3 linked regions of the Tamandua tetradactyla genome follow. The protein of the gene in region 1 purifies or fractionates together with the protein of each later gene. This does not show direct contact. Links are inferred from orthologs where the notes say so. Each region holds a gene or a part of one and is shown on either strand. Other genes may lie near its edges. The genes, in order: RAB8A, GDI2 and GDI1.

Region 1 (7,465 bases):
CCTTCCAGAAGCTTGCCCCCATGTTCGCAGAGGCCGAGCTGTTGCTGGGTGCTCTGAGATCCAAGTGGGCAACCTCACTGCTCGAGGCCTTCCTCTCCAGCCATGTCCCGTGGGCTGCTCCATCCACATTCCAAGCACATTTCCTGGGGCCGTAGGGCTTTTGTCCCTCTTCCCTCTTCTGAAATGTTCTTTTCTTCCACAGCCATCTGGCTGCCTCCTGCCCTGTTCAGGCGCCTCCTCAGGGGAGCCTTCCCTGACCACCTGTACTCTGTCCCCTCACCCTGCCTAGTTTTGTCCAGAGCACTTATAATGCGCTGAGGTTCCACATTTGCGTATTTGCTTCAGGAAACTATAAGTAATGGATCTGGAAGGCCTGTGGAGGTGAAATAACTGAACCCTGCCTCTGCCTCTGCCCCTGCCCCAAGCAAGGGGAAGCTGTTCCAAGGATGCGAGTTCCACCCTCACGAGCCTCAGGAGGTGTCCTGGGAACCAAAGTGACCGGACGTCTATGATTCAACAACCCCCCACCCCCACCAACTAGAACATACGTTCCCTGAGTGCAGGCGATACGTGTGTTTCAATCACTCCTCTACCTCCAGTGGCTCAAAATGGCAGGGGCTGAACAAAACACCTGTCAGATGCCCAGCCCTGTGCACAGGCTTCATGTACCTGTCTGCTTCCCTGATTCACCTCTGCAGCCCCTGCCCTGAGGCGTTTGCTGGCACAGGAGGCATGGGTGGAAGATGGCTGGAAGAGAGAATTCAGGGCAACAGGGCGTGTGTGGAGCTGTAGGATCATGAAAGCCTTTCCCGGACATCATCTATCTCACTGCAGGAATGAACGGGCCCCGAGGAGGTGCTGGGTGAACACAGCCCGGTCACCGAGAACTGATTCCAGGAGCCACAGGCCAAGTCCACACCACAAGCAATCAATGGAGCTGATGAGAAGAGCCTCTGGCAAAACATCCCCTGGGCAGCAAATGAACAGCCACGCAAGCTCTGATCTACAAAGAAAACCCAGGGATACAGGCAGTGCCAATCTAGAAATCACCTTTATGCACTGAGTCATATTTCAGGACTTAGAAGCCCAATGTTGGCTTGTCCTAAACATTTCTCTACTTCCTGACACAGATGTACTGGGATCCAGGAAATCGAGATGCACGGCTGAATATGCAGAGTCCAAGACAGCACTCTGCTCTGCACATCTCCTAGGTTTTACGAGCACACCAGATTTAATTAGGATGCAGCAAGTTTATGAGGGCTAAGAATTATGAGGCCATGACTTCAAGGTAACGGCAAATTTAACCTTCCCGGGCAGACAGAGAGCTGCAGCAAAATTACACATGTGATAGGAAGAATATTGGGGTGGCGGGGAGAAGGCTGAGTTCAACTCCACCTCCACCTTTCCGCATGACCTTGAGAGAGCTGTATTCTTGTCCGTGAATGGAATAGTCCAGATGCCTCCTTCCTGGGGCCCTAAAGGTGCTGCATGGGGTTTCAGGGTTGAAGATTTAAAATCCAAATGAAAAACTCAAGTTCAGAATTTATCTCACTGGGGCACGTGAGGAACAAGCTGGAAAACTGAGGTCTGGGGCTGAGCACAGTGGGCCAGGAGTTAATGTCACTTCCTGGTTGGTGGGGAGGCAAGAGTTATTCCAAGGGCTGACCTTGAGGGTGGAGGGGGGAGGATTCTGATACACTTGTGCCCAGGGAGATGCTACCACCTCAGGAGCCATCCTGCTGCCTCTAGGTGGTCTCGACCTCTTAGTCCAGGTGGAGTTCTGATCCTCAGCCCCAGGCCTGGCCAAGGCAGAGAGCTCTGCTCTTAATCTGAAGACATCGGTCTCGGAGAGGTGGAGGGACTCCTCCAAGGCCAAACAGCTACTGGAAGGCAGGTCTGATGCCCTCTGGTCCAACGCTCTCTACCTTACATCTAACACTTGACTTGATTTACGGCGCTCTAGGTGAAGGACAAGGATGGATTGAGCACCCTCGTCATGGGGTTCGAGGAGAAACAACGACTTGGTCAAAGTTACACGGGGATAAAACAAAACCCACCCACTAGGTTTTCTCCACTCAGCTAAACTCTCAGCTCTGGCTGAGGCCACTCCGTTTGGTCGATGTTCCTGACAGATCCAGCTTTCTCAAGTGAGCAATGACTGCTTTGTGGAGCAAAGAGAAGTCAGCTCCATTTTGGTGGATGTCAGAACTGAGGTGCAACCAGCCAATTCTGCTCAACCACAATGTGGGCTGGCTGTGTGGGAAAGCCTCTTTTGCAAAGTGACAACCGACATCCTGGGCCACGCGATAGGGAAGCCGAGGCTGCTTGCGGCGGAGGCTGGTTTTTGTTTCTCACTGAGGCTTTTTTATCTGGCAACTCCTTGCAGATGAGGATCCCAGGGTGGACAGCTGTCACCCGTCATTGCTGTCACCCTCGACTGGGATGGAAGGCAGGGCAGGGAAAGGTCACCAACTCCCTCTCACTGCTCCTTCTAGACAAAAAATTCACCCATGGGAAACAGGACAAAGGAGAGGGCTCAATTTGGGGACATGGCTCTGGGGTCTCAGGGCTGTGTGCTGGCGTCCATCTGCGACAGCTGCCCCCGGCATTTTGGGGTCAGGCACCCCTGGGTTCTAAACCCATCCTTGCTACCTGCAGACCGTGTGACCTTGGGTAAGTCCCTACTCCTCCCCTCAGTCTCCTCTGTAACGCAGAGTTCTGCTCGGGGCGTGAGAATGCACAGAAAGAGCCTGGCCACAAGAACAGGGGCTCAGCGAGTCCCGACCCCACGGTCAATTCCCCAAGCCTCAGTGTCCAGTTCTGCACGTCGGGGGGCCTCCAAAGGACCGCCTGGAGGTGTGCTGCGAGCACAGAACGAGAGGACGGGCGCGAAGACCCCAGGCCACGACAGACACTCCTAGACGAGAGGCTGAGGATGGGAGTCTCAGTTACCCCACCTGCAAAATGGGCACTCGCCCCGCTCCCTGCGGCCCGTGGAGCCCCCGAGGGGAAGCGGAGGCGGGGGCTCTCCGCCCCTCAGGGCCCCTGACGCTCTCCGACCCCTCCGCCCTCCCCACCTGCTCCTCAGGGGCGCGCCCGGACCGGGCCTCTGGCGTCCCCACAGAGGCCCCGGCCGCTCCCCGGCCGCGTTACCTATGGTGGAGATGAACGTGGAGTTGAAGGCGTCCTCGGAGAAGCGGAACAGGACACAGGTCTTCCCCACCCCCGAGTCCCCGATCAGCAACAGCTTGAACAGGTAATCGTAGGTCTTCGCCATATTACACTCTGTCTCCGACGGGAAGTGCGGCCGGCTCCTCGCCACTGGTCGCCGGCCCCGTCCATCAGCGCCGAGCCCGCCCACCATTGGCTCCCGGCCCGCCGAGCGTCATCGCGGCCGACGCCCGCCCCCGAGGCCCGCCCAACGCGCGGGGCCGGAAGCGGTCCCAGCGCGCCTCCCATTGGCCGGCGTTCGGGATAGGGCGCGCTACGATTGGCCAGCGGTGAGTAGTCGACGGCCTTCAAACGGGGAACGGGACGGAGGCGTGACCTCCAGTGGCCACGCCTTCCCGCCCGCAATTCTGGGGAGGCCCCGCCCCCTTAGGGGAGGGGTGGAGGGCAGGGAGCGTCGCCAACGGCCCTGTGCGCCGGAGGCTCGGGGGCGGGGTCTAAGGACTGCGCACGCGCCCTGGGGAGACCGTTGGGCGCCAGCAGAGGGCGCACACGCGTGGTGGGGCGGGAGGGATGTCTCCGGGGTCCGCCCTCAGAGTCCGCGCAGGCTCAGTAGACGGCGGGGCGAGCGCGGGAAGGGACGGTGGGCGGAGGCGGCGGCTGGAAGCCTTGGTGTTGGGTCTCGGGGTGCTGAAGAGGAAAGCAGGGAAAGGGCGCTCGTCGCGGTCGAGGAGCGGCCTCTGGAGATGTGCTCCGGGAGTTCCGCCGGCCTGGGAGCCCGCCTGGGGATAACCCGGCCTCCGCCACCCCAGTCCCCTGAGGCGCGTGGGCCTCCTCAGGACGGGCCCGCGGACCTAATCAGAGGTTGTGGGGACCCCCGAGATCTGTCCCCACGCCCCGTCCGCCCTCGGAGGCGCGCTCGGGGGCCTGAGGGGCCAGGGGAGGCGCGCAGGCCGCCTTCTCAACACTTCATATCTTGAACCCTCGCACTGACCCGAGGCCGATGTTGATTGTTGATCCCCGTTGCGTGCGGAGGAAAGGGAGGCCGGCGACAGGTCACTTTCCCTGCTACGGAGGTGTGTGAAGATGGGTTTTGCACCCGAGGCGGGGGCCAGCTGCAGACCCCGAGCCCTGGATCGCTCCCCTTCCCGCCTCTCAGAGCCCGAGCCGCCTCGCCGACGTGCCGGCTGTCAGCCTGGCCTCGCGCCTCAGGCCGCCCCCGGGGCACCGCGAGAGGCTGCTGGAAGCCCTTAAGGTCCTTCCCAGGAGAGGCTCGGCCTGGCTCCAGGATGGCCCGTCTAGCTCTGCTCAAGAAACGCTTCAGGCCGCAGCCTCGGCGCTGTTCTGACCATTGGTCACCTCTGGAAAGGCTCTTTTCCTCGGCGCTTTCCCCAGCCGGCCCGTGGCCCGCACCCAGTTCTGCCTCTCTCTGGGTGCTGCGTCGCACCCCGTCAGCGCCTTTGGGCAGATGTCGGCTTGTGCCTTGAGCGGAGCTCCTTGTGGCTCTATGTCCCGAGCCCTCTGTTCGCATTTTCGGGGCCTCTCATTCACTCTGTGACTTCCCAGGCCTCCAAGGATGGTTCAATTTTTCATTCATCGCCTCCCCATCCCTGCGTCTCTGGGGGCCTTGACTTCTACCGCTGGATTTGTCAAAAGTGCTTTCAACTCAGCGTGTGCACCGCTGAACTCATCGTCTTCCACTCCAGCTTGCTGGTCCAGAACTGTCTTCTGTGTGAAACCTGCCTTTGTGGCCACCACCTCCTCACCCCTTACCTGCGGGCTCTTGGGGAGGTTCTGAATAGCTCCCGAATCCTCCTCCTCCATTTCAGAGTCACAGCCAGGCCCTCACATCTCCCTGCCGGTCTCTCCCAATCCTGCAGAGTTCATCCCAAGACACTGTCCTCTAAGCATAGCCATCCCCCTGGTTGAAATCCTTCAGTATTCCCTGAGCAGGGTAAAGCCCAGAACCTTTACTGAGTGTACAAACCCCTGCCCCCCGCCACAGTCTGGCCCTCACCTCACCCTGCGATCCACCCGTGTGCCACAGGGGTGGGCGGTTGCGGAGAGCTGGAGTGGGTTGGGTTAACAGGCGGTGAGCACTTAAGCTACGTGCTGAGGCACAGGACTGAGTAAAACAGTTTCCAGAGAGAAGGTGGTGGTGGGAAGGCTGAGAACAGAACAGCGAAGAGAAAACTTCAATCACGCAGTGGTGTGGCAGGGGAGGGGGCTGTGCGTTATACATTATTCATGGCATCTACCCTCTAACCAGGCTCAGTGTCAGGACAATGTTAATATGAGGGAAGTGCTTTTCACTGCATTTGATAACAATTGCTGGCATCCTGTATTTAACTTTTTGAAAAGCTTTCACTTCTCTTTTTGATGCATTTCCTTCCCTCCCCACCCCCAGTTAAGGAGCTCTTGAGGCAGGATGCCAAAGCAGTTCAGGTAGTGAAACTGCAGTGGTCTCTGACACCCTCTTCTCCAAGCTCCCCGCCATGCAGTCAGCTACTCTTAAGGCTATTTCCATCAGGCCATCTCTTGCCTCCTATTGGCAACCACTATCCTGGATTATTGAAACATCTTCCTGCCTGAAAACAAAACGCTTAAGTTGATTTTCCTACTATACTGCTGTGATCACTCAAGTCGTCAGCCACACTCCACTCCTGACCAAATTGACTCCAGATTCTCATCGGTCTGAACCCAGCCTACCTTCCTGCTTTCTCACTTTGACTTTCCTTTTGATGTCCAACACACAGGAAACCTCGCCCTAGCAGATAACGGGACCATCTTCCCAGCGCGGCTTGAGCAGGACCGGGAATGACACAGGGCAGAAGCATTTGAGTTCCTGAGGCAAAATGCTCTCATGTGTCATGTGGCACTCATAATCCTTGCATCATGAAATCATGGTATAAAGCAAATAAATAACATTAACTAAGTTCTTGGCACGGTAATCTTCTTTTCCTTCTCATTAACATTTGTTGGCTATTGAGACCCAAAGTGCCTTTTACTCCCCTACACATCCCAAAATTCACACACATTGTAGTTTATGTAAAAATTTATTTGGCCAAAATGTAGAAAAAGTGATACTATTACATATGATACAGTTGCAAGAAAGTGTGGGTTTTATTCAGTTGCTCAGTTTGCTAGTGTATCTCCTGGGTAGTGTGATGCTTAATAAATAGGAGTGAGGGGCAGGGGATTTGGATAAACTAGAAGCAGGGTCACTTTTTAGCCGGAATTGTAAACTTGAGTTGGCCCCCACACTTCTGGGGAATGTGGAATGTTTCAGTTCTGAGATGTTAACTGAGAAAGCAGAACTATCGCAAAGGTAAAATGTGCAGTTCTGTCTACAAAATGCTCCAAATCCAGTTTAATCAGGAGTTTCTTGGTCTTTTACTCACTTGATCCCGAAGAAGGAATTAAAGTCCTAAATTTAAAAATCTTCAATTTGCCATTCTCTGAACTATGGAGATGAAGTTGGGTCAGTAGCCTTTTCATTCCAGCTTTGCTGCCAGAGAGACCCCTTCTGCCTGGTATTTGTTGATTAAAAAAAAACAAAAATCCTTTTGCCCAATTTACTGATGGCTTGCATTCTCTTTGATATGGCAGCCGTGAATTGTTCTGAACTTTGCCATATCCATTCCTCCAGAGCGGATGGCCTTACTGAATAGGGTAGGCAGCCAAGGGGCATTATTGGAATAAGCCATCTGCTCCCCAGAGGCCAACTTTAGAATGAAATAAACGTCAAGGATCTATCCAGAAAATGTGGGTTATTATTATGACTGTTTCCCAAGCATTCCATGCTGACTGCTCAGAGGATGTTTGCTGTGTACAGTGGAGTGTGGAGAACAGCCAAGATGATTAGGCTACTCTGCATGTGGTTTATGACTTTCCTTAAGAGTCCTTTTTTCTTTTCTTTCTTTCTTGCTCTGGATGGAAAATCCCCACCCATTCTAATGTGATGGTCCCTCGCCTCCTGTAGTGTGACCAAAGGTGAGCCCAAATGGTTCTGTTCTTCAGCCTTTTAAGTTGACCCATGACTAGATATTGGAGTCTGTATTCTTGAAAGTGTGGGGTTGTCTAGTCTCCCAGGAACCAAATACCCTGCCTAAGGAATAAATGCAACATAAGGGTAAAAAGAGAGCTGAGAAAGCCAGTGCCATGGAAAAGAGGAAGGAATTAAACTTAACAGGTGCTCAAAGCGTCTCTGATAACAAAATATTTGGTCATGGATTCATAGGTTTGCTCGACATTTCCAGCAAAGAGAAAGATGCGATAACGAAAGAAACTTCTTACA
Region 2 (7,246 bases), on another chromosome or scaffold:
CCTTCTTAACGAGGAGCAAATCTGAAAGGTCAGCAAGAACCCTAGAAAAGCAGTTAACTGGTTTACAGACATGCTGGCAGAAACAGACTTCATTTCAATAAGCAAAATCCACCACAAACTACGAAAAGCTCTGAATCTCAATTAGGCACTCAAACAAACAAACAAATAAAAAACATGCAGGGGGTAGGCCTAGTGATCTAGGGTCCTAACAGTCTTCCAACTCACTACCAAAAATGAAATTCAACTGAATCTGTCATTCAAAAACTGTAAATAACTCTGTAGGTAAGTAATCTCATCTATCTGGTAATATTTCTTCGGGTCAAACATAATGGAGCCTTTAGAAATGAGTACTTTTCAACAATCACCCTAAATTACTATGAAGAGAAATATGACAAGATGAGAAAGATGCAGTGCTAATTCTTAACAATCTTTTCTTATAAAATTGGCCAAATAAGAATTTGAAGGTTTCCTCTTGCTTAGAAAAACCTAAAGTAGTTCTTTTGTGGTGTTACTTCAAAAAAATACTAATTTGTCCTGAGGGATTACAATGTGTTTCTACCAATTTGAATTTGTGTTTTGCATCAAATGACTACGGAATTTGAGGTTAGATTGATTAGGATACACAAGATATACATCAGTGCTCTGCTTAAGACAAGAAGTAGCCATAAGGTAGAATTTCAAATGTCCAAAGGAGTCTGATACTCAAACTGGTCCTGCCTTCAAATGGAACTGTTTTACAAGAATAACCGTTTTCCTTTTCTTAAAAGAGCATGAAAAAAAAGAAATACAAGACACACCTTCACCCTCAGAGAACCTCTTTTGCTGCTCAGATGTGACCTCTCTAAGACAGCTCAGCAGGTAAACTCACTGCCCTCCCCTGCATGTGGGACACAACTCCCAGGATAAGCTAGGACCCTGCATTATGGAACTGAGAGAGCCTTCTTGACCAAAAGGGGGAAGAGAGAAATGAGACAAAATAAAGTTTCTGTGGCTGAGAGATTTCAGAGTCAAGAGGTTATCCTGGAGGTTATTATTATGCATTATATAGATATCCCTTTTCAGTTTATGGTGTACTGGAGTGGCTAGAAGAAAGTACCTGAAACTGTTGAACTGTATTCCAATAGCTTTGATTCTTGAAGATGATTGTGTAACCATATAGCTTTTACAATATGACTGCATGATTGTGAAAAGCTTGTGGCTGTTGTTCCCTTTATCCAGGGTATGAACAGATGAGTAAAAAAATAAGGACAAAAATAAATAAATAATGGAGGTGGAAGGGGGTAAGGGGTAAAAAAAAAGTGGACAGATTGCAATACTAGTGGTCAATGAGAGAGGAGTAAAGGGGTATGGGATGTGTGTTTTTTTCTTTTTATATCTTTTTCTGCAGTGATGCAAATGTTCTAAAAATGATCATCGTGATGAATACACAATTATGTGATGATACTGTGAGCCAGTGATTATATACTTTGGATGGACTGTATGTATGTGACTCTACCTCAAGAAAAATACTTAAAAAAAAAAAAGATAAAACACCCGCCTGAATTATTTGCAGACTATCTCCAGATCTCTAAACAGACAGATACACAGGAAAATGAATATACCATACTATTAAGAAAGCCTTGCATTCCTATTACTATCGATTCTTAATGCTGTTATTGATTTGTCTTCTAAATCCCGGAAGAGTATGGCAGCAGAGAGAGAACTTGGCCTCTAGCAATCCATCATCAATCCATCTCTTTAGGATAAAACATGTGGAAGAGACGATGGAGGCAGGGGCAAACCAAACAAAAGGAAAAGACGGCAAAACATCTGACAGACAAGTTTTGAGAAAACAAACTCATTCCCATTCTATGAACGCTCAAAAAGTAGGAGGGGAGGGAGGTTAAAAGGAATGGATAATGCTTCTTATTTTGTGCTGGAGGGGAAGGTTAAAAAAAAAAACCACAAAATTTATTTCCTCCAAACTTTTAAGTTAATTAAACTCTAACAATTACAAAACTGTAATTGTCCAGACGACTTGTCACAAAACCTTTTACCTAACCTTGGCGGCCAAAGACTGACTAGTAGCAGTTGCAGGCTAAATAGGAAATGCAACTGCGAGTGGCTTCCACCCTCCCCCACTTTGCCTTGCGCTTTTCCGTTTCCAACCCGGAGAGCTTAACAACCCAAAGGCAGGTGGAAAAGCGTTTGATACCCCTATCCAGGCTTCTTTTTTCTTTCCTTTTTAATTCTGTATTAATTCTAGTGAAACTCTCGTTTTCCACCTACTTTTATCTCAAACTTAGTGTTTCATCATGTACTTAACTGGCTCCTCAAACTAAAGTCCTGGGTTTTCAATTTCCTGGTCTTTCCTTCCACATTAGAGACAACACACTCCACCAACCTAGGCTGCCATGAGGTTAGGAGAGTGCTGGATACTGCCGCGGGTTGCAACTCCTTCCAAACTCATGCACCCAACTAGCGAAAACCTTTCCCAACACCCTTCGACAATACCTTCCCGTAAAAAAAAGGAAGAAAGAAAAGAAAAAGAAGAGCAGGCCAATAAAGAAAGTATCAACGTAGACACACGAAATTGCAAGGCGGTTGGCCCTAGGCAGTCACCGCAAACCCGGGATTCGGGAAAAGAAAGGCCGGCAGGTTGTGAGTCCTCGCGCCGGAGGGAGAGCCCACGCCTCCTCCAGCCACAGGTCGGAGGAGCAAGAGAACAGTGCCGGTAGCAACAAGACGAGCTGGCCAAGGAGGTCGAAAGGCTGCCGCCTGGGTAAGGGCACGTAGTGGCCGGGCCACCCGGATCTCCCTGGCACTGCCCATCCGCCCTTGCACGACGCCCCTATCTCCCCTCCTTGGCCCAGTCCGGCCGCCCGGATCATCTCGGAACTGACGGCCTCCTCCCTCCCGAGCGCCTCGGCCGCGGCCGTCGCCTGAGACTCACCGTCAGGCCAGTGCCCAGCACGATCACGTCGTACTCCTCATTCATGGCGGGGAAAGAGAGAGAGAATAGAAGACGCGAAGGTGAAGGCGCAGGGATTCTCGAGAAAGGGAATCTCTCTACCAATGCGGAGGAGACGGAGGAAACGCTCAGACCGGTTTCGAGAACAGAGAGAAGGGCAAATAGGACCAGCGGTAAAATGGAGCTGAAGAGGAGACGAACTCAGCCGCCACCTCAGAAGGGAAGAGAAGAGCTCGTAAGGCGGGGGAAGGGATAGGAAGGGGGGAAGGCGGGGCAGGAGACGGCAGCCCTTCTCGGCCCGGGGGAGGGACCTAGCGGGAAGCCGTCAATCAGGCCCCTCCCGCTCGTTCATTGGCTACGTCCCCATCATTTGCCCAACCTTCTTCCTCTCCTACCTCGCGCGAGAAGAAAATGGAGCGTAGGCATCTCGAGTTCCGGTTCCCCTTTTCGTCCCTGCCACGGTGGTTGGGGAGCGGAGGCGACCTCACTCCGGGCGGGGCGGGGGTTGGGGAGTCGGTTGGGCCGGATGAAGGAGGAGAGTGGCCCTAAGCCTTTCTGGGAATGCAGTCGCGGCCCAACTCCCTGTCCCCTACTGCCGCCCTTGGACTTTGAACCGGTGTGCGCTTTCTGGTGTTGCCTGCGGCCACGTGGGACAGACGGAGCTCTCGGGGCACCGCTGGGTCGGGGGACTTGTGGGGTGCTCAGGTTGCCGCATGTTCAGGAACGCGGACTGCGTCACGGCCCTTCATCCCCGGCTGTCGTTCCTCAAGGATTTGCAGCCCCTTTTCATGCCAGGTCTGGGATTGCTGGCTGGGGAGGTTACAGAACGTGGCCAGACACCCGCTGCAACCTGCAGGCGGGATGGGCAGACTAGCCTTTGGCGTTACCACTGGGCGGGTGCTCTCGGCGCCCAAACAGCTTCTCTGCCTCGGGGTGCCGGAGTGCTAGGTGCAGGGTCTCATGTTTGTTACTTGTAACTTAGTTTCTGTTTCACTTTTCTCTTCCTCCTGCTTCACTTTTCTGAAAAGCAAAGGGAAAATGATCCAACATTTTTGGGAGTTCGGACCTTCTATGTGTTTTACAGTATTTCCCACTACGTCATTCTTGCGTGGTGACGTACCTGCCCGTGTGCGTCCTTAGAAATTTGGGGTAAAAAAAAAAGCGCCTCTTTTTAAAAAATAACCCTTATTGATGATATTGTGAAACCACTGAGTGTACACTTTGAATGATTACATGGTATGTGAGTATATAATATATACGTATCAATGAAAAGTAACCCTTAGCACAAATAAAAGGGAAAGTGAGATGTGATTTGGAAGCAGACCTACCCCTGCCTGTTGAGAGCTATAACTTAAACCAGCTATAGAAATAGCTGACCAGGAAATGAAAGGGGGTTTAGCCTTTATTTCCCCTTGCGCCTCATCCCCTCACGTTTTAGGATTCTCACAGGAATTTCCACCTTTGGGCTTGAAGACAGATGTTAAATAGTGGCTTGCGTTCTCTTAACCCGAAGAGAGACCTTCAAGACAAGTGATTTTCCTAAAGGCACTGATAGTTGTAAACTTGGGCTTTCTGCCATGAATGAATTGCACACTCAGCAGACAGTATGGATTTGCTATTTTCCTCAAGATTTACTGAACTATAGCTAGAAAAGACCTATTCAAAATGAATCTTGGCACTAGGATTTCCCTTCCCTTCCGTATAAATCTTTCAGATTGAGGAAAGAAGGTAAATTTTTAAAAATGTATTTTTTTATTGAGAAATCTTCACACATATAAACGGTAACGATTTTTTACATTGTTTCTTCACCCCATAGAGACAGTTTAGGAAAGTATGTTATAATGGACAGTGGACTTTTTGGGGAGGAGTAAGGGAGGAGGGAGCAAGCTCTTAAATACAACGTTAACTGAATTTGTAAACATTAGTGAACGAATGCACTTTCAGAAGGTTACAAAATCAGGTGCAAAGTTTACTAGAATACTGAACCAATTATACAGCCATTGGTGCAATTGACTTTCTATTTCCTAAACAGATACCTTAAGAAGCTCCTGCTGTTTGTTGTTTTATCTTTCTAAAAGTAATCAGGATTCTGCTTTTTAAAAGTAACAATAGTAATAAAGAGCCTTTTTCGTGTATAGCCATCGGTATCTGGGTGTTGAAGAGGGTTTTAAGCATTATCAGCTGAATTATGTGATCATGTTTTAAGTGAAGGATATTTCATCGATATTCAGATGGAGTTACTGAAAGATTAAGGACTTGGGTTGAAGGATCTGAATTTAAGGCTAATAAGGCTTAGTCTTAATATTTGCTTGTTGGTCATACTAGGTCTTTTGGCCCTGCAGAAGGATAAAAAAAACTACACATGATCAACAGATCAAGTCTTTCCAAATTCTTGGGTCTTCCACCTCCATCTAAGGAACTTGGTAACTTGACAAGGAACTTTGGCAACAATTAACAAATATTCTTTGTGTTGAAGTGGCTTAAAAGCCACTAAATGGTTCAGTGCAAAGCAGGCCACAGATGGCAGTTCTCTTTTTTTTTTGGCACTGCAAAACTGTGTTTTTTTTTTTTAATGTCAAGTCCAATATCCTGAAACATACATATATTTTGATAGTCTTCTAATCCCAATTCAGTTAAAATATTAAAGTAACACTCACAAGCTAAGGGAATTCAATATTGTTGCAAGACACTTACTGAATCTCCATGATTAGATGTGAAACAAGAACAATTAGGATGGACAATCAGACAGTACATAATATAAAAATAACTTTTTGCTTACAATTTACAAAATATTATTACAGTCTTTGATCTCTGATAACCTGCAATGCTGGCTGCATGAATCCAGCAGTTTTTAAATTCAGAAACTATTTTCTAAAACTTCAGGGCAAATAATTTGCAAGTAAGGTACACAAAGATTTAGACCATGCAGAGATTTCTTACATCGTCTATTAATAATATTTTATGACTTCAGCCTTATCAAATATATACCTACTTCCCCTGTACATATACAAAATAACACATACATGATAAAACATTAGCAAAAGAGTAGTTCTTAAACTCAATATTTATCATAAAAGTATAACTATATTGACATGTTTACAAGCAGTGTGTAACAGGGTTAAGAGACATTAAGGCAATAATACTTGAAGTTACAAAATAAACCATATGTAATACTTTTTCTTAAGTGTAGTATAAGGCAGGTAGATGGTCCCAGCAAAAGATATTAAGGTAACAATCTACACTGCTGTTAGTCCCACATTTTTAAGATGGAATACTATAAATCTGGCTTTCAGAGGCACTTGAATTTTTCCATTATAATTTGAAGTCTTTTTATCTTCCTGCATCATGTCCGTTCTGAAGGTGAATCTCTTGGTCCTTTAGGTTTTCCACCACTATCTTTGATTTCTGTTGGGCTTTCTGATACTTGATCTTTCTTCTCACTGAAAGTAAGTGAACATTCTATACTAGTCTCTGTGAACCCCTTCTGCTGGATGATCAGATTTTTCATTTCTAGAGGTTATCAGGCTTTCAGATTTTTTGGTTCAGATTGTTCCTTATTTTGAAGTTCACTCCATTCAGATCTGACAGTTGTATTATGTTCACTTGCTAATACAAAAGATTCAGGAGTTCTTTCGGGTAGTGGAGGAGGTGAATCTTCATTAATGTCAGCATCTGAATTTATCATCCCTGCTATTTCATGTCTAGCAATGGACATTGGCAATACTTTCCTAGCAGAAATGGGTTCAATACTAGTGGCAGCAGAAACCGTGACACTTGCTGTTGAATTATTAGTTTTGTTCTGGGTCACAACACCATCAGAGGTCCTCTCATCCGAGTCTGAGTCCAGAAGGCAGTTCTTGCTAGAGTGAAACTTAGGTCTGGGGGAAGTAAGTTGATTGAAAACATGTCAGATCTCTACACAAAGCAGGAGTTCAGTGGGGATCGAATTTATATATGGGTAGTTGGAAATAGTTGGCTGATGTTTCTACTGGGCCTCCATCTGCACTTCACAAAGGAAGAGACTAAATCTAAGCAAAGAAAATATTAGAGCAAGCCACCTTTTTCTCTCTCCTAGACCACTGGAGAGAACTGGCAGCAGTTTCCTGGCCAGGTCTACTTCCCACTTTTGACTCTCCTCCTATCTATTCTATTGTCTTATTACAAGGTGAATCTGGTCATGTTGATGCTTCTACATATCTTTCACATTAGAATAAATTTGCCAGTTCCTTAATATGGTCAACAAGGAATTGTTTAATCTGGCCTCTATATCTCTCAGCATTATCTTTAGTGATATGC
Region 3 (7,785 bases), on another chromosome or scaffold:
GGCCCGTGTGACCCAAGTATGATGGCCAAGTCAACTAAGGTCATAGACGAGAAAATAGAAAACACTACAGAAACGCTGAAGTCCTACCTGCTAATACCGACTAAAGAAAGCTATGCCTCACCTTGCGAATCCCTGGGGCAGCTCACCAAGGCCATAGAGTGGGTACAAATAGGGGCTCTTGCCATACCGGGCCAGGGACTCGCTGTACAATTTGATGCGGTTGATGGTCTCAAGACAGGGTTGGTCCAGGTAGCTGAGGGGACAGGGGAGGGAATACTTAAGACAGGAGAACCCCCAGCTTACCCAAACCCAGGCACCAGGTCATCCTCCCTACCACCCTAGATGGTCTGGGGAAAAAATATGGGTCAAATCCAGGGATGGGAGGGAAGGACAGCAGGCTGAGTATGTGAGGGATATAGAAGAGGTGGGAGGAGTGAATAGAGAGAGGAACAGGCTGGCATGGGGGTACAGAACATCCAGGGATGTTCCTGCTGCCACAGAAAGGAAGCCCTGCGCCCTGTCCCAGCTTCCCCTCACTCATCAGTGCGATAGAGCGCCAGGGCGTGGCCAGTGAAGTCAATGACATCCTGGCCCAAGTCAAACTTTCGGTAGACGTCACGCATGCTGGTGGTCTGAGGGTCGACCCCTTCAAAGGTCTTGGGGTCGTTCTCATCAAAATTTGCCACAAACACCAAGAACTTGCGGAAGCGCCGCTTCTCAAACATGCCCATCAGATCTGCGGGAAACATTATAATAAGATGCACTAGGCATTGAAAGTAAAGCTCCTCTTTCCCCCGCGGTAGAGCCAGCAGCCAGGAACCCGCTCCTGGAGGAGTACTGGCACTGAAGCTGTGGGACCTTAGATTAAGCTCTCTACCCCTCTCAGCCTCGGTTTCCCCATCTGTACAAAAGGGGGTTGAGTGGGACAGACTTTAAGGGCCCTCCCTGTTACCACACTTAGGGTTCCTGGGTCAAATAGAGACTATTTCAAAGGCTGAAGTTTCTCCCAGGGAGTCTCCTCTCCACCCAGCCTCCGTGTCTGACTTCCCTTCCAATGTTGAGCCTGAGGAATCGTGAGAAGGGCAGTGAGGGATGACAGAGCAAGGGGCCTTGAGTACACTACTGCCTACAGAATGCAGCCTAAGGCCGGCCAGGCACTCCCTATTCTTGTCAATCAACTTCTACCCATATAGAGAACGCCCATCTCACCGGCATTGTTCCCTGGCCCAAGGCAATCACACTCACTGGAAGCCAAGGCCTCGGTCTCAGTGGACGGCACTTTGTAGATCTTGCCCCCCTTGTAGACAAAGCTGCCCTCAACAACCTTAAAGTCCAGGTAGCGAGTCACCTCAGTATACAACAGCATCTTCACCAGCTGCCCTGGGGGGTGGGTAGGGAGAGAAGAGCAAGGTGGGGGGGGGGAATCCCTCCTCATCCTCCAGCCTGACTGCTCTTCCTCTGGTCCTCCTAATCACCCTCACCCCCATTCCTCCATCATCTTCCTCACCATTGGCCATGAGAAATTTCGGGATCAGGTCAACATTCCAGTCTCGGCCCCGGCCCATTGATTCAGGGGGTCCCTCCTCGAATTGAAAACGCTTATATAGCTGCAAGCAAGAAAGAGAGAGATACCTTGAGGCCTGTCCCCTCCCTCCCTAACCCCCAACCCCAGTGGCCCAGAGAATGTGAGGTACGGCCTCGAGCCGCACGGCAAAGTTAAGCAGGAGTCTCGCCCAGGCCTGGGCCACGCCTCACCTCCTCCAAGGGTGTGATGGAGGAGCTCTCACCCCCGTAGTAGGGGTTCCGGTCCATGTGCAGCACCTTCTTCCCGTTCACAGACATGATCCCAGACAGGATACATTCCTGCAAGAAGAGGCCACCTGCCCACGTGCCCACCAGCAGCCCTGGCTGTTTCCCATCCCCACGCCTGAAAGGAGAGCCAACCCCGGGGAAGGGTCCTGCTGGGGTGGATGGCTCTTCCCATGACACCTTCCCAGGTTAGTCGCTTATCCTAAAAGTGGGGGTGATAGGTCACCTGGCTCCAGTCTCCTTTGTCACCACCTTGTGGGGCCAAAAGGGCAATAAGGAAAGAATTAACTCAGGGCCTGAGGGAGAAGGAGGGCATCCAGCAGATACGTGGACAGCCACTAGCCGGCCAAGAAAGTCTTCTGTCTATGCAGGGCCAGGACAATATGACACAACCCGCCACAGAGGAGATGGAGAGAAGAGCTAGTGGGACCACGAAGGGCCCCCTCCCCGGAAGGGAAGTGAGGAAAGGCTCGGCTCATTGCCACCCCTGCCTGGGCTGCTCTTTTTTCAGACCCTGACCCTGACCCTTCTGGGCCACGGACTGGGGGCCATGAATCCATCTGGGAAGCCGGCCCACTGGGTGCTGGGGAAGAGGGGGGAGATAAACATCCGCGCCAATCCGTGTCCCCAACCCAAGGACAAAGGCTGCGGATCCTCCTCAGCCCTAGTCTCCATGGGAAACCGGGGTGGGAGAGCGGGAAGGGGGGTGCTGCCCCCACTCCAGCTTCTTCTGGAACATTCCCTGGACTCCCTGGCCCCAGGAGACGCGAGGAAGACAGGTTATGCGGGGGCTACCCTGGCCAGCACTTCATCCCCCCGCCGGAATCAGGCAAGGTGGGAGAGGATATCGCCCGGGTGGGCTGCGTTTCCCGGGGGGGCGAAGGGAGGGGAAGAAGGCCGGGGACGCGGCGCGGGGGCGGCCGGGCTGGAGGGGCCCTTTAGAGGCGACGGCACCCCCGCGATGGGGGTGGGCGCCGTCGTGGGATGGACACCGAGGTGTCCCTTCGGAAAACGACGAGCGCAGGCGGCGTCGGGGAACGGGACCGGGAAGGGGGCGACCGGGAGCCGCATCATCGCGGGGGACGCCCGCCTGGGAGCCGGCAGGCCCCGACGCCGACTCACGGTGAGGCCGGTGCCCAGCACGATCACGTCGTATTCCTCGTCCATGGCTCAGCCCTCGGTGTCAGCGCCGGCTCCTCCTCCTCCTCCCTCACCTCAGCCGCCGCCGCCGCCGCCGCCGCCGCACTGGACCAAAGATGGCGGCACGGCTGTCAGCCGCACGACCCCTCCGCGGCGTCAAAGAGTCCCGGCCGCTCCCCGCCCCTGCCCCGCCCCCGGGCGGGCACGCCGTCCCTCGTGCGGTCCCCGGCCCGGCTGTCGGGGTCCCGGACCATAACCCTAGCGCAGCTCCCCGGGCGCGTCCGCGGAGCGGAAGGCCCCCGTGGAGGGCGGGGCAGGGACGCGCGGGCGGGGCGGCCGGTGCTGCGGCTCCGATCGGGATCCGTGCGCAGGAGCCGCGCGCCCCGCCCCGCCCCGCCCCGCCCCCCGGGAGGCTCGCGCGCGCCCCCGCGCCGTTCGGGCCGGCGTTCGCGGGTGCGCGCTGCTGCGGTGGCCCCCGCCGGGGCGGGGAGGATGGGTGGGGGGCACGAGTTGTGTTTTCCTCGGGGTTGGGGGGGGTGGGTGACGTGGTCAGGGTCCAGGCGGCCTTCCTCCCCCTCGTACCCTAACCGGCTAGGGTCCCCACCCCCGCGAGGCCTGTCCACCTGTCGGCCTGCTCCTCTCGGCCCCCGTCCCGCCCCCGCGCCGCGCGGCTTGCCCACATCCGGGCCCCTTCTCCCACAGCCCGCACGGTCCGCGGCCAAGCGCATCCCTTCTGCTCAGCGGGGAAATGAGGAAGCGGAGGCCCAAAGCAAGGCGACCCATTTTTATTTTAATGAAGGAAACACAACTGAGTACCCAGGGCTTCTGCGCCAGGCACTCCTGCTGGGGAAATGCCAGATGTCCAGTGATCGCACCCAAACCACCCGCCATGGAGGCTCCTGCCTTCCGAAACCACAGACAGAAACCCCGGTGTACTACTTATTTTTAACACGACATCACCAAACAATGTATCCTAGCAGGACGGCCAAGCAAGACAAACAATAAAAGAGCACGGCTGAGGCCCCCACATTCAGGGAGCCCCATTCAGCCTGGGAGCGTTGTCTGCGACACAAAAGCACTATAAACAGCAAAAGGTGGTGTTGGCCAGACGGGAATAAATAAGGAGAAAAGAGGGGGAAGGAACGGGTCCCTAGAACTTCCCTCCCCTCACACTGAGGGAACCCAGGAGATTTGTCTAAGATCCAGAATATGAACACCTTGGGGGTTGGAGCAGGGAGGGGGCCTCCCCTGGGAAGCCCCTCAGGGGCTGCAGAGTAGAGGGGGCAAGACAGGTTGTGGGCAGCTGGGGCTCCATGCAGGGGTCACACGATCTGGGTGAGGGAGATGGAGGGGCCCTTGTGGTCATCAAAGCGGTCCATGGTCTTGAGGCTGAGGAGCATGTGCAGGCCGTAAGTAAAGATGAAGAGCATGGCCAGGGAGGTGAGGAGGCCCATCCAGATGCCCGGCGAGAAGAAGCCTGCACAGTCGCTGGCATAGGAGAACCGCTCACCCGTCACGTTGAAGGCCTGGATCTGGGGCAGGAGCAGGACGCAAGTCAGAAACTGTGCTGGGACCTCCCAGCCTCTTCCCCCATCCCACCCTGGACAAGGCCTCTGCCACCACACCCCTTGCCGTGGCCCCGATACCCCCAATCCAGCTCGGCCCTGCCCCTATTCATACCTGGAAGTCCTGGAAAGTCAGGTCCCAGAGTGAGGGCTGAGTACGGGGCACAAGGAGATTGCCGTTCTCGGGGAGGCTGCTGACGTACTGGCAGTGGAAAGAGTAGTTGCTGGGCCCGGTGACCTGGGAGGCATTGAAGTAGATGATGGAGCCATTGCTGTGGATTTCCAGGCGCTCCAGGGTAAACCAGTACCGGGCCGACACCGGGTAGAAGCGGTTAGCCAGAATGAACCTGGGGGAGGGCCCAGGGTAGTCAGGCGTGCTGGGAGCCGGGCCATCCCAGCCTGCCCACACCTCTGGCACCCCCACAGGACTTACTTGAAGGTCACCATGGTACCAAAGAGCTGCTCATAGGTCAGTGCGAGCCTGAGAATCACAGTCGAAGGTATGGGGTCAGGCACAGATAGGGCCTCCTCCCACCTAAGCTGCCCCCAGGGCATCAGAGTCAGCCCAAGAGGTCATGCTGCCCACCATACAGATGGGAAAACTGAGGCCCAGAGAGTGAGAGAGACTTTCCCCCCATCACACTCCAAGTCAAGAATAGAGCTGGGGCCATAACCCAGGTCTCCCAACTCCAGTTTTGAGTTCTTTCCTCAGGTGGCCTGGAATACAGTGATCCCCTCCTCCTCCTTTCGGCTCCACCTTGGGGCTGCTGATGTGTCTGGGCTGGACTTGGCAGGTGGGGTAGAATCAAACAAAGGGTGGCAGTCTCTCTAGCCACACAGGAAGTATGCGTGAGACCCAGAACAGGGCCTGGTACCTGCCCGTGTTCACTCCAAAAGGCTCTGCTCAAGGGGAAGGCATAGGTCCCAGGTGACAGGAAAAGTATAAACAAAGGTCCAAACTGGGGAACAGAAAGCCCTGAGGTGGTAGAACTTGGAGCACCCCCCAGCTCCCCACATCCCCACAGCTACCACACCCCACAGCAACCACAGCCACGCTTGCCTCCGGCACACAGCCCCGCCTTGGGCAGGCCTATCGCCTCGGGTGCCACGGTTCCTCCCCAGCCAGAGTCCCCTTACCCAGCATAAGTATCATTCCAGAAGGAGCCGGTCAGGTTGAGATCCTGGCCAAAGGTGAGGGAGGTCAGGTCCTCTGAGTGGTCCCTGTATGACACAGAGAAGTTCTGGGCCCAGAATAGGATCCGGGGAGCTGTGTCATTGTAACTCACGGGGTGATGGGGCACTTCTGGCAGCATCTGCCTTTGTAGCAGCTGGCGACCGAGCCCCCCAGAGACCACTTCCACATCCCGGGCCACCTGTGGAAACACCCAACAGGCCACTTCTCAACAGCCTGGAACCAAGCTCCGACTCTCCTGCCCACCCTCTCCCTACAGGGCAATGCTCTCCACTGCCTCAAAGCCCCACTGGATGGAGGCAAAGGGCTCTCCTCCAGCCACCCCTCGAGCCTTGCTCATATCCATAATCCCCTAAATGTAGGAAGCACTCTGCTTATTTTCATAGTGTGCTAACTCGTAAGGTTCAGAGGGCAAGATTAAAGACCACTGGCTAGAGGAGGAAGGACTAGAACCTTACTCTTCAACGCCCCCCCCCACAAAGATGCTCCACACATAGCCTTTACCCAAAGTTCCCTTGACACTGGACTCTCCGGGAGCCCGGGTTCTCCTCACAGGAAGAGGGCACGTACCCGGGAAGGGCGGATGGCCGTGAGGGCTGCTGTGTACGGGACGTCTTCCGACTGGAGCATGCTCAGTACCTGCCCTATGACCTCGTCTGGGGGGAGGTGGGGAGAGCAGAGAAGCAGGTCACACAGCTGCCCCGTTCAGAGAACTACTTCCCCCCCCAACCAGGCTGTGAAACATCTCCAGCCCCACTGGAAAGTTCCAGGCTGCAGAGGTGTTGATACATCACTCGGCCACCTCACACCAAGGAACATGTGCTGTCAGGTGGTCCCCCTACTGATGAGGCTCAGTTGGGTCACTGGATGGCAGTGGGGCCCACCAGATGTCTCCACTGTGAAGTGCCCCCTTCCCTGCAATTGGTCTGTCACCTGTGGTGGGGGACTGAAATCCCTTTAGGGAGCCTGTTCCCTATCACCCCTCTCACCTGGCATTTTCACGAGCCACCCATGATCCCTGCCAATGGCAGCTATTTCCCAGGTTCTCTCCAGCCTCCCCTGGAACTAGAGTAGTCCTGGGCCACTCAGTGGAATAAGAATCTACATGTATTCAAAATTGCTTTTCGAAACATTATTGGTCTATTAAATATAAAACCCCAGCATTAAAAAAAAACAAAAAACTGCATTGGCTCTGCCCAAACAGCTCTCTTCAAAGACACTCAAAGACAGCACACAGAGGCTCCTTGGCCTCATGACCCAACTGCCAGGCAGAGCCCCGGCTAGTGAGCATTGAGGCCTGGGCACCACATGCAGTGTCCTGAAAGCTGCTACTAGTGGGCTGGGGCCCCACTGAGCACAAGAAGCTGAGGCACTGCTGCACCGTCTCTGCCAGCCTGCTCTTGGCAGTCCTGGCACCAGTTGGGTCCAAGGCTGGATAAAGCCAGCGAGGGGTGTCACAGAAGGGGCACCTGTCCCCAGTGCCACTCACCATTGCCTGTGAGGACTTCCTTTGGAGCCATCAGTCCAGAGCTATCAAACAGACAAGACAGTTAGCGCCCCCTCTTAGGAAGAGACAAAAGAGTTAGAGCCCCTTCTTGGGAAAAGACAAGAGAGTTAGAGCCCCTCCTTGGGGCAGCCCTGGCCCTGGGTCCCAAACAGCTGGCCTTCCTGCACCCTCCCCAACGTGGGGCTGGCCCTTCTCCCACAACTCCTGCCTCTCCACCTCTCCACAGCCCATACTCAAGGCTTACTGTCCTTTCCCACTATCCCTATCATGGAGCCGGCAAACTCCAACTAGGTGGCTCTCTGGGACCAATGCAGGAACCTGATCACAATCCCGACCCACCTTCTCCCCAGGCTGCAGAGTCCAGCTCAAGACCCTGCCACCTGCTGTTAGCAGCTCCCAGCTGTGACAGGCTGTCCCCAGCAGGACCCACACCCAGCTCATATCTGGATCCCTGGCAAGCCCAGCATGGTACTGGGATCTGACTCCTGAACCGTGGCCCAGCAGGCCGCCCTTCCCGCCGTCTGAGCACGCCTGAGGACCTGCCAGGCCTGGTGGCCGTCTGACCCAAAAGG

Evidence for each region.
Region 2: the proteins of RAB8A (region 1) and GDI2 purify together in Homo sapiens (co-immunoprecipitation; 5 studies listed by BioGRID and IntAct, with this or other methods). This does not show direct contact. The link is inferred for Tamandua tetradactyla from reciprocal best matches to the Homo sapiens genes RAB8A and GDI2.
Region 3: the proteins of RAB8A (region 1) and GDI1 purify together in Homo sapiens (co-immunoprecipitation; 6 studies listed by BioGRID and IntAct, counting the BioPlex papers as one, with this or other methods). This does not show direct contact. The link is inferred for Tamandua tetradactyla from reciprocal best matches to the Homo sapiens genes RAB8A and GDI1.

Annotation. Positions count from the first base shown.
Region 1 is NC_135337.1:94,766,363-94,773,827, reverse strand, and holds the start of RAB8A (ras-related protein Rab-8A), read right to left. Parts: upstream 3,345-7,465; 5' UTR 3,278-3,344; coding exon 3,154-3,277; intron 1-3,153. UniProt on the Homo sapiens protein: The small GTPases Rab are key regulators of intracellular membrane trafficking, from the formation of transport vesicles to their fusion with membranes.
Region 2 is NC_135333.1:58,228,673-58,235,918, reverse strand, and holds the start of GDI2 (rab GDP dissociation inhibitor beta), read right to left. Parts: upstream 3,223-7,246; 5' UTR 2,978-3,222; coding exon 2,933-2,977; intron 1-2,932. UniProt on the Homo sapiens protein: GDP-dissociation inhibitor preventing the GDP to GTP exchange of most Rab proteins. By keeping these small GTPases in their inactive GDP-bound form regulates intracellular membrane trafficking.
Region 3 is NC_135353.1:6,666,675-6,674,459, reverse strand, and holds the start of GDI1 (rab GDP dissociation inhibitor alpha), read right to left. Parts: upstream 3,074-7,785; 5' UTR 2,977-3,073; coding exon 2,932-2,976; intron 1,864-2,931; coding exon 1,756-1,863; intron 1,608-1,755; coding exon 1,508-1,607; intron 1,381-1,507; coding exon 1,246-1,380; intron 737-1,245; coding exon 538-736; intron 254-537; coding exon 122-253; intron 1-121. Other genes in the region: ATP6AP1 (V-type proton ATPase subunit S1), read right to left, coding at 4,272-4,481, 4,630-4,861, 4,948-4,995, 5,652-5,887, 6,277-6,362, 7,196-7,236. UniProt on the Homo sapiens protein: Regulates the GDP/GTP exchange reaction of most Rab proteins by inhibiting the dissociation of GDP from them, and the subsequent binding of GTP to them. Promotes the dissociation of GDP-bound Rab proteins from the membrane and inhibits their activation.